Caenorhabditis elegans: one gene and its partner. The protein of the gene in region 1 purifies or fractionates together with the protein of each later gene. This does not show direct contact. Each region holds a gene or a part of one and is shown on either strand. Other genes may lie near its edges.

Region 1 (3,929 bases):
AATAAAAAAAAACACTAAAAATGTAGCAGAACGTTCCCATAACTATCGGAAACCATCTAAAAAATATTAGGAAATACTAAGAGAAAAACAACAACTTTTAAAATGTTCCAGCAGCTTTCCATTTTTTTAATGTTCAGGGCAAACTTCAATTGTTAGAGCTTGAAAATTTATTAAAATGGTACAATATTTTGATAAATAAATGGTTCAGTTGTTTTATACATGAAATTGTCACAATGAATCACAATAAAGCTGTGAATGTTTTTATTTACTTCAAATGATTTTATAGAACTTAAATTTAAATGATATCAACATTATCAAGATTAACAGAACCAGTTATTGGGAATGTTTCCGTATTATTTGGACGATTTGCAAACGGAGTATCAGAAACATTTCCCAATAGGTTATTAATTGTTTCCCAAGCTTCCGATTTGCTAATCTCTGCCAACTCATTCTCAACTAAATTCGAGAATATCAACTGCCAAAATGTCATTCGAAAATTCCAAAAGTCTCCTTTATAATGTGAGGAAAGAGACGCTGATATATGCTTCTTTTCACATTTTTCACCGCGATAGGCTTTCGAACATTCACAAATTGGTTTTGGATTTGAATCAATGCAAACTCCACCATTCTCACAGTTACACAACTTTGGAACAATGACTGCAATTTATAAAACTCACGTAGAGATTAGTTTTAAAAATATGCAACTCACGTTTTTCACACTTTGACCCAGTTAATCCATTCAAACAACTTGGTTTTCCTTGAAAATTGCAGTGTTTTCCCGAGTTGGTTGCTTTGTTCTCATCACAAAAAGTTTCACATTTCTCACCAAACCAATTTCTAAAACAATGATACAGATTCAAAAAAAAATTTAAAAATGGTATATTTTCTCTTTTAGACTTTCAGACTTTCAGCCGTAATAATCATGAACTGAAATGTTGTAGGACCTAAAATGACATTTTGACAAACTTTTCTTCAAAAGCTAGATTTTACAATGAAATTTATGATAGAACCGTAGTCAAGTATGTCAAGTATAAACAAAGAATTTGAGCAACATTCCAATTTTTCCGTTAGCTCTATAACCAGAATTCACTGTCATCAATAGAAATTGCACGGAATACAAAATTCCAAATAAAAAATTTCCAGACGAAATCCTAGATTTCTAGAACATGCTCACAAGATATATTTACTTTTTTTTCTACAGTACCGTGTGATTTCTAAGTTGTCTTGTGACAAACATTTAATCCAATTTCAAGACAAACGAGCTTACTTATTACAACCAATAACGATTCGAATTCCATTTAAAGGTCTGGCTACAGCAGCCGGTGATAACAGCCCAACACGTGGGTGAACAGTTGAGACAATTGTTGTGTCAGTTAGACCCAAATACTTTGGAGTTGAATTTTTAAAATATGAATTAAACTTGCCATCTTCCTCTGATTTTCCACATTTTATGGTTATATTGTAGATATTATCAAAGTTCACAGGAATCCTTGTAACGTTAAATGGTACATTAGATTTAAGTTTTAAATGCACTATTTTTGATTTCTCTGTTCGAAAATTTGATGAGATGTTCACAATTGCGGTTTGTATATGAGGACTTTGAATATGTAATTCTAGATATCCAGAACAAATTATCTGTAAAAATAAAATCTTAAAATTACAGTGGTTCAAAAAATCTCACCGATTCAATAATAAAAGTTATAAATAAGAAAGAAATCGCAAGAAGTTGCATGTTGAAATGTTGATAATGAGATGGAGAAACAAAAAAACAAGACTAAATATTTGTACTCGTCAACTTTAATTTTGATTCGATTGAGGTCAATTGTGTAATTCAAGGTTACCCCAAGTGACGTCATCACTACGCATTTTGACTTGACAACGTGTCTAGAAGATCAACAACATAATAGTTTTGAAAGAAAAGAGAACAAAAATTTAAGTTTTACCGTATCTGCTTTTTGAAATGTAAAGCCATTTTGATGTTACTATTTTGGCCGAAACTCACTTGAAACTCACAGGTCTAGATTTAAAAAAATAGAAAACAATTCTGAATGAGAATATAATTAAAGTCTCCGAACAATAATGATAAATTTTTTAAATAAGTAACAAAAAATTATTGAAAATAAAACATAATTTTCGAATGTTCTAAAACTGACCCATTTGTTGTCAGTTTTACAGTTTTAAATTGTTTCAAAAAATCAAGAAATCAATTGCGCGTCTGAAACTAGCGAAAATGTATGGGTTTACATATAAAAATTTGTTTATTCATGTTTATACATTTTGGTCAGCTATTTATGGAACATAGTTCATATCAACAGAGACTCCACATGGGCCAGTAGTGGTTCCTTCCCATTGATGAATTGTTGGTCTGCTCCATCCTCCGAAAGGTGCGAACTTTGAGAAATCCTTAATTCCATCATAGGTTGCCCACCAGAGCATCAAACTAGATTGTCCATGATAATCCAATCCAACAATATCTTGCCAATTGTAATAGTTACTGTAGATTCCAACTTGTTGCTTGTAAGCTTGAGCTTCTCTGACCATTGCCTCGATGAATGCACGGTTACTGGCGTGATTAGCTGGCCAAGCGAGACGTTCAATGTCAAGCCAGAGAGTAGAGACATGAGTTCCTGCACTCTTCAAAGCATCAAGAGTTTCCTTAACTTGATTGGCAGCAGATGGGCAGTTAGATCTCAAGCATGGGAAGATGTATCCATCGACATCGGTGAGGCCAGCTGCAAAATTTGTAATTAGCTTGGTACTGAATGAAACTTGTAGAAAACTTCAGATGTTTTAATAAATTGGAATATTATCAGTTTGAATGTTCGAACCCGTACAATGCTTATAATTGACTTGGAATACTATAAAGCTCATCCTTATGATCTGATTATTCCAACTTAAAGTGATCATAAGGGCCCCCTTACGGTCTCAATATTCAGCTCAAAAGGATCATATGATTAGTTATGGTTGAAAAAATTTTCACCTAAAACTTTTCTTTTGGAAGTTTTTCCAAAATGTTTAATTTTTTAGAAAAGCATAATTGTGGTAGTCCCTACAAGTTTGAACATTCATATTACATTTTCAGTCGAACCATCACCTAAATTGGAATTTTCTGCTATTCTGGACAATAATACTTAGAAAGAAACTGTAATTTTTTTTTTCATTTTTTAGTTTCAAGAGGTAATATATTGTTTCACTCACTAGATGCATTGTATGTATACTTGTAAAACATATTAAAGAGCAAGATTAGTTTAAATTTTGAATTCTATATTCAACCTATTGACAAATATATTTGAATATTATTATTTTTCCATACTCTGTTTACAATCATGTGACAATGCATGCCCTGGTAAACTAGACAGTCAGAGGGGACAATGAATGGTTGTAAAACGTAACGAAAAGATATTTCATTGACCACTACATCTTGACTTTTGGGAATATGTGTATTTGAATTATTTGATGGCAGTTTTTAAACAAACAAAAAGAAATAAGAAAAAGAGATAAGATTTTGTTAGTTTAAGTATTTTCTTACAAATTTAATACTCATAACTTATACTAGGAAGTATGCACAGACCTATAAGTTAGAAGTGTGAGGCGAAGAATCGCGAGGGAAAGGAGAACCAAATTGCCAAGAATGGAAATTATTTTGAAAATGGTAAAAACCATTCCTTGATACCCATCTGAAATGCTCACCTGCTCTAGCATTCTTGACGTTTTGAATTCCAGTATGATCAAGAGTTCCAACAGAAGTAAAGACTCTTGGAATTACGAAAGAATATCCAGCCTTATGAATACATTGAAATGTAGCAGTAGACACTGGTTGAATGAAATCAATTCCATTTCTAGCTGCACTTGCAGCACCGATCAAAAGCAAAGCCGAGACGAAGAACTTCATGATTCTCTGAACTCCCCTGATTAAGCCTTCACACACT
Region 2 (3,850 bases), on another chromosome or scaffold:
AGGACATAAAAATTAAGCAAAAAATGAGAAAATAATACGAAGAAACAAGTGAGCCCGTAAATCGGCACAAGCGTTACAGTAGCCATTTCAAGAATTACTGTAGTTTTAGCTACGAGATATTTTGCGCGTCATTTATGTTGTGCAATACGCATTCTCAGAAATTTGTGTTACCCGTAATAAATCGAAAATTTTCGCGTAGAATTCCCAGAAATTCCTGTTTTTTCAGCTGACTACCTGGTAAAAAGTACGTATAATTTTTCGATTTCCCGTCAATCCATTGAAAATCCGCCGCTCTCGCATTCCATCGCATTCCGATCCAATTGAAAAAGCTCGGATTCTCTCTGGCGAAAAATTCACGAACTATAGAGGCCTCCTCTTCTGAATTTATAATGACAAGGCTTGCATTGGATTGAGTACAGTATTCGAGGGCTTCCGAGAATTCGGCTGGTTGAGGAGCAGACAGGAAACAAGAGTCGAGATGAGCAATGTGAAGCCATGAAGGAGCACATGGGGTTTTTGAATGAGTTAATTGGAGAATAAATTGGAAAAATAGAAGAAATCTCATTGGTGTTCCGTGGAGGTGAGGGAGATAAGAAGGAAAAATGTGGAGAAATGTTTGAAATAGATTTTCCAAAGTGTCTCTTGCACTCAAAGAGTCATTAGATCCTCCTGTCAGAAGACATCAAAATGTCAGTGTCAGGCGAGGAGCAGCTGACCTATTTTATGGTTTTATGTTATTCTAGTTTGAATTGAGAAACTTTTGTTGTTGACAGCTGAGAGGAACACTTTACTCGAAAAATTTAAATTTTTGGATAAAAAAATCACGAAAAAAAGATTGGGTTCCGCGCTACAAGTTGTCCTATCATTCAAATCGATTTTAGAAGAAGCAGGGTCCGAGACGATTTTACCTGAAAAAAATCTATTTTGAGGGCCAATACAGTTGATTTCAGATTTTTGTTATCTTTTTCGCAGTTCCTGGCAAATTTTTTACTGACGATTTGGCAAATTGCCGGCTTTTCGGAACTTCTCAATTCCGGAAATTTGCCGATTTGCTGAAAATTTAAGTTTCCCGGTTTGCCGGAAATGTTGATTTTCGGCAAATTGCCGGATATCTGATATGCCGGAAAAACTTGGAGTGATGTTTTATATTGCAAAAGCACATAAAACTGCGCCTTTTCGAAATTAAAATTCTGCAAATTCGAAAAAAAATGTGCAAACCACAATTTGCCGAAATTTTCGGCAATTGCCGTTATTCCGGCGAATTGCCGGAAATTTTCACTCCGGCAATTCGCCGATGTGGCGAAAATTTCAATTCCTTCGATTTGCCGATTACCGAACAATTCAATTCTGACAATTTTCCCGTTTTCCGAAAAAAAATCGTTTGCCGCAGCTTATAAATTTTGACTAAACTACAATTTTCGCTGATTTTTTGTCTTTTAACATTCAAAAAAAAAAATCAAAATGTCGATTATTTGTAGAATTTATTGTTGAAAAGAATCAAATTCCTGTTTAATCCAAAATTCGTGCTCACTTTTCGGGGAAAGCATCAAGTCCGGCAATGCGATACTGATTTCCTGTAAGTCGGTGATCTCTTTTCGACAGCTCAACTCTGGAAAGTTATTATAATTAAGTATTAAAAATCATTTTTCTCAAAAAATGCACCTTTGTGGAGTACAATAATTACGCCGGAAAGCTCTTCCGACATCCCATTTGTTGAATGGATAGGACATGTAGCAGGCTCCAGCTACAAACGCGGTTGTGATGACTCCAGAGTAGAACTGTTCGAACCACATGCTGAAATAACGAAATAAATTGGAAAAATGCGAAAAGAAAAGGAGAAAATCTAATAAAAATGCACATTTCAACATTTTTAGCCGCAAAAAGTCGATAAATGAAAGGAAAACAACACATTTCACGAAATTAGAATCAAAAATGATTTCAGAAGTTACTAAAACGTTTAAATTATCGTTTTTCTCATTTAAATATCAATATTTCATACTGAAAAACTACAAAAACTACACTTTAAATATAAAGAACAAAAATAAATCAACTTAGAGGTGGGCGGAGCTTCCGACCAACAACCGCAAGACGCGCGCGCGCTTTCTGCAAGGCCACCGCACAGGGGTGGGAGAATCGAGAATTATTTGGCCGAATTTGGATGAATCTCCAGTAGATAATCGGAAACGTAATAAATATGAAGTTTTTGTTAAAAAAAAGATGTTTCTGAAGAATTAAAAGATTATGCAGTTTTTCAGAGTTTCGTTTTTATCACTAATTGTAAGTTTGTGACAGATAAAATAAATAAAAAATCTGTTTTCAAAAAACAAATCCGTAACAACCATCTTAGCCACCATTCTAAATTTTCTCCTCTCTAAATCGACACATGACCAAGTTAACAAGATTTCACTGACATTCTTCTATTTTCTAACATAAGAAAACTGGGATTACCGTTGTAAAACGCAGAACTAGTTGCAGACGTTCTTGAGGCCTAGGGGAACATCTTCTGGGACTTCTGATCTATTCGCGCTAATACATTCCCTCTAATTTTCATATTATCAAAAACGTGTGACATTCTTAATGTGTTCATGAGGCTCATAAGCAGAAAAACGTCAAGCTGTCAAAAAATTGACGGATATTCATGGTCATGGGCAGGCGTTCGCCTTTTCCGCCAGAGCATGATCAACAAACAATTACAAAAAGGCTCTGGATTCTCTTGATATTTCTCATTTTTCCAAATTTTTGTTTTGAATTCATATTCTATAATAGTTTTTTAGTGATCTCATTAATGTAAAATTTACTAGCCCAATATTACCGGTACAAAGAGTGTAGATAGTTGGAGAGTGACAGACATCCGGGACCCAATGGGGCGGGGCGCGCGGAAGAGACGATTTGTGTCGATTTACGAAGTTTTCCTCGTTGTCATCATTTCGTAAATCGACACAAATCGTCTCTTCCGCGCGCCCCGCCCCATTGGGTCCCGGATGTCTGTCACTCTCTAACTATCTACACTCTCTGTACCGGTAATACTTTAATTGCGATATTTTTGGTATCGACTGTTGGACTTAATGCGTTTTTAGTTGTTTATTAACTCAAATTAAATGTGTAAATATAATTCAAGGACCAAATTTTCGTCATAACTTTCTCTACATTTTAAAGTTGTCAAAATATTACCAATTTTACCACAGAAACAGTGCTGTGCAGCTCTCGGCTCTCGGCGCGAGCCGAGAGCCGAAAAAAAAAATTGAACTCGGCTCCTGGCGCCAGCCAAGAGCCGAAAAATTGGGATTTTGGCCGAAAATTAGGTGTTTTTCGGCTCTTCACGAGAGCCGAGAGCCGACTTTTTTCAAGAGCCGCACAGCACTGCCCAGAAAGTCTTAGACCAGCGGACGTCGTGTACATCCAACGTTGACGCTTTTTTTTGGAACGAATGTCTGAAAAAAAATACTAACTTTCGTCTAAAATCAAAATTTTTGCCATCTGCTCGCTGTCGCAGCGTCTGAATTCCAGAAGCTGCGACACCGATAAGTTGGCAAAATTTTTGATTTTAGCTGAATATGAAACTTTTTTCCAGAACTTTTTAAAAAGAAATTTTCAAAACGTCTCATTACGAAACTTGGTAGTTTTGGACCATTTTGGGTATAAAAAGGCAAAGTCTCAGATTTTGGTAATCCAATCTCATAAATGTATTTGCTTGCCTCCCTTTCTTCTGTTTGTTGCAAAGTATTATATTAGTCAGCTTGTCCGGATAGAAAACGGGTTCTCATTATTTCAGGTCACTTTCTCTACTGTTCCTCCCCCTACCTCTCTCTCGACCGATGTGTTATCATATTTGAGTGATAAGAAAATTGGG

Evidence for each region.
Region 2: the proteins of dsl-5 (region 1) and ndua-1 fractionate together in Caenorhabditis elegans (co-fractionation; one large-scale study listed by BioGRID). This does not show direct contact.

What each region holds. Positions count from the first base shown.
Region 1 is NC_003282.8:11,619,207-11,623,135, forward strand, and holds dsl-5 (Delta-like protein), read right to left. Parts: upstream 1,804-3,929; 5' UTR 1,733-1,803; coding exon 1,682-1,732; intron 1,636-1,681; coding exon 1,268-1,635; intron 838-1,267; coding exon 710-837; intron 658-709; coding exon 296-657; 3' UTR 157-295; downstream 1-156. Other genes in the region: lys-4 (LYSozyme), read right to left, coding at 2,290-2,732, 3,691-3,892.
Region 2 is NC_003283.11:20,850,102-20,853,951, forward strand, and holds ndua-1 (NADH dehydrogenase [ubiquinone] 1 alpha subcomplex subunit 1), read right to left. Parts: upstream 1,797-3,850; 5' UTR 1,794-1,796; coding exon 1,663-1,793; intron 1,610-1,662; coding exon 1,532-1,609; intron 909-1,531; coding exon 905-908; 3' UTR 776-904; downstream 1-775. Other genes in the region: clec-264 (C-type lectin domain-containing protein), read right to left, coding at 235-565.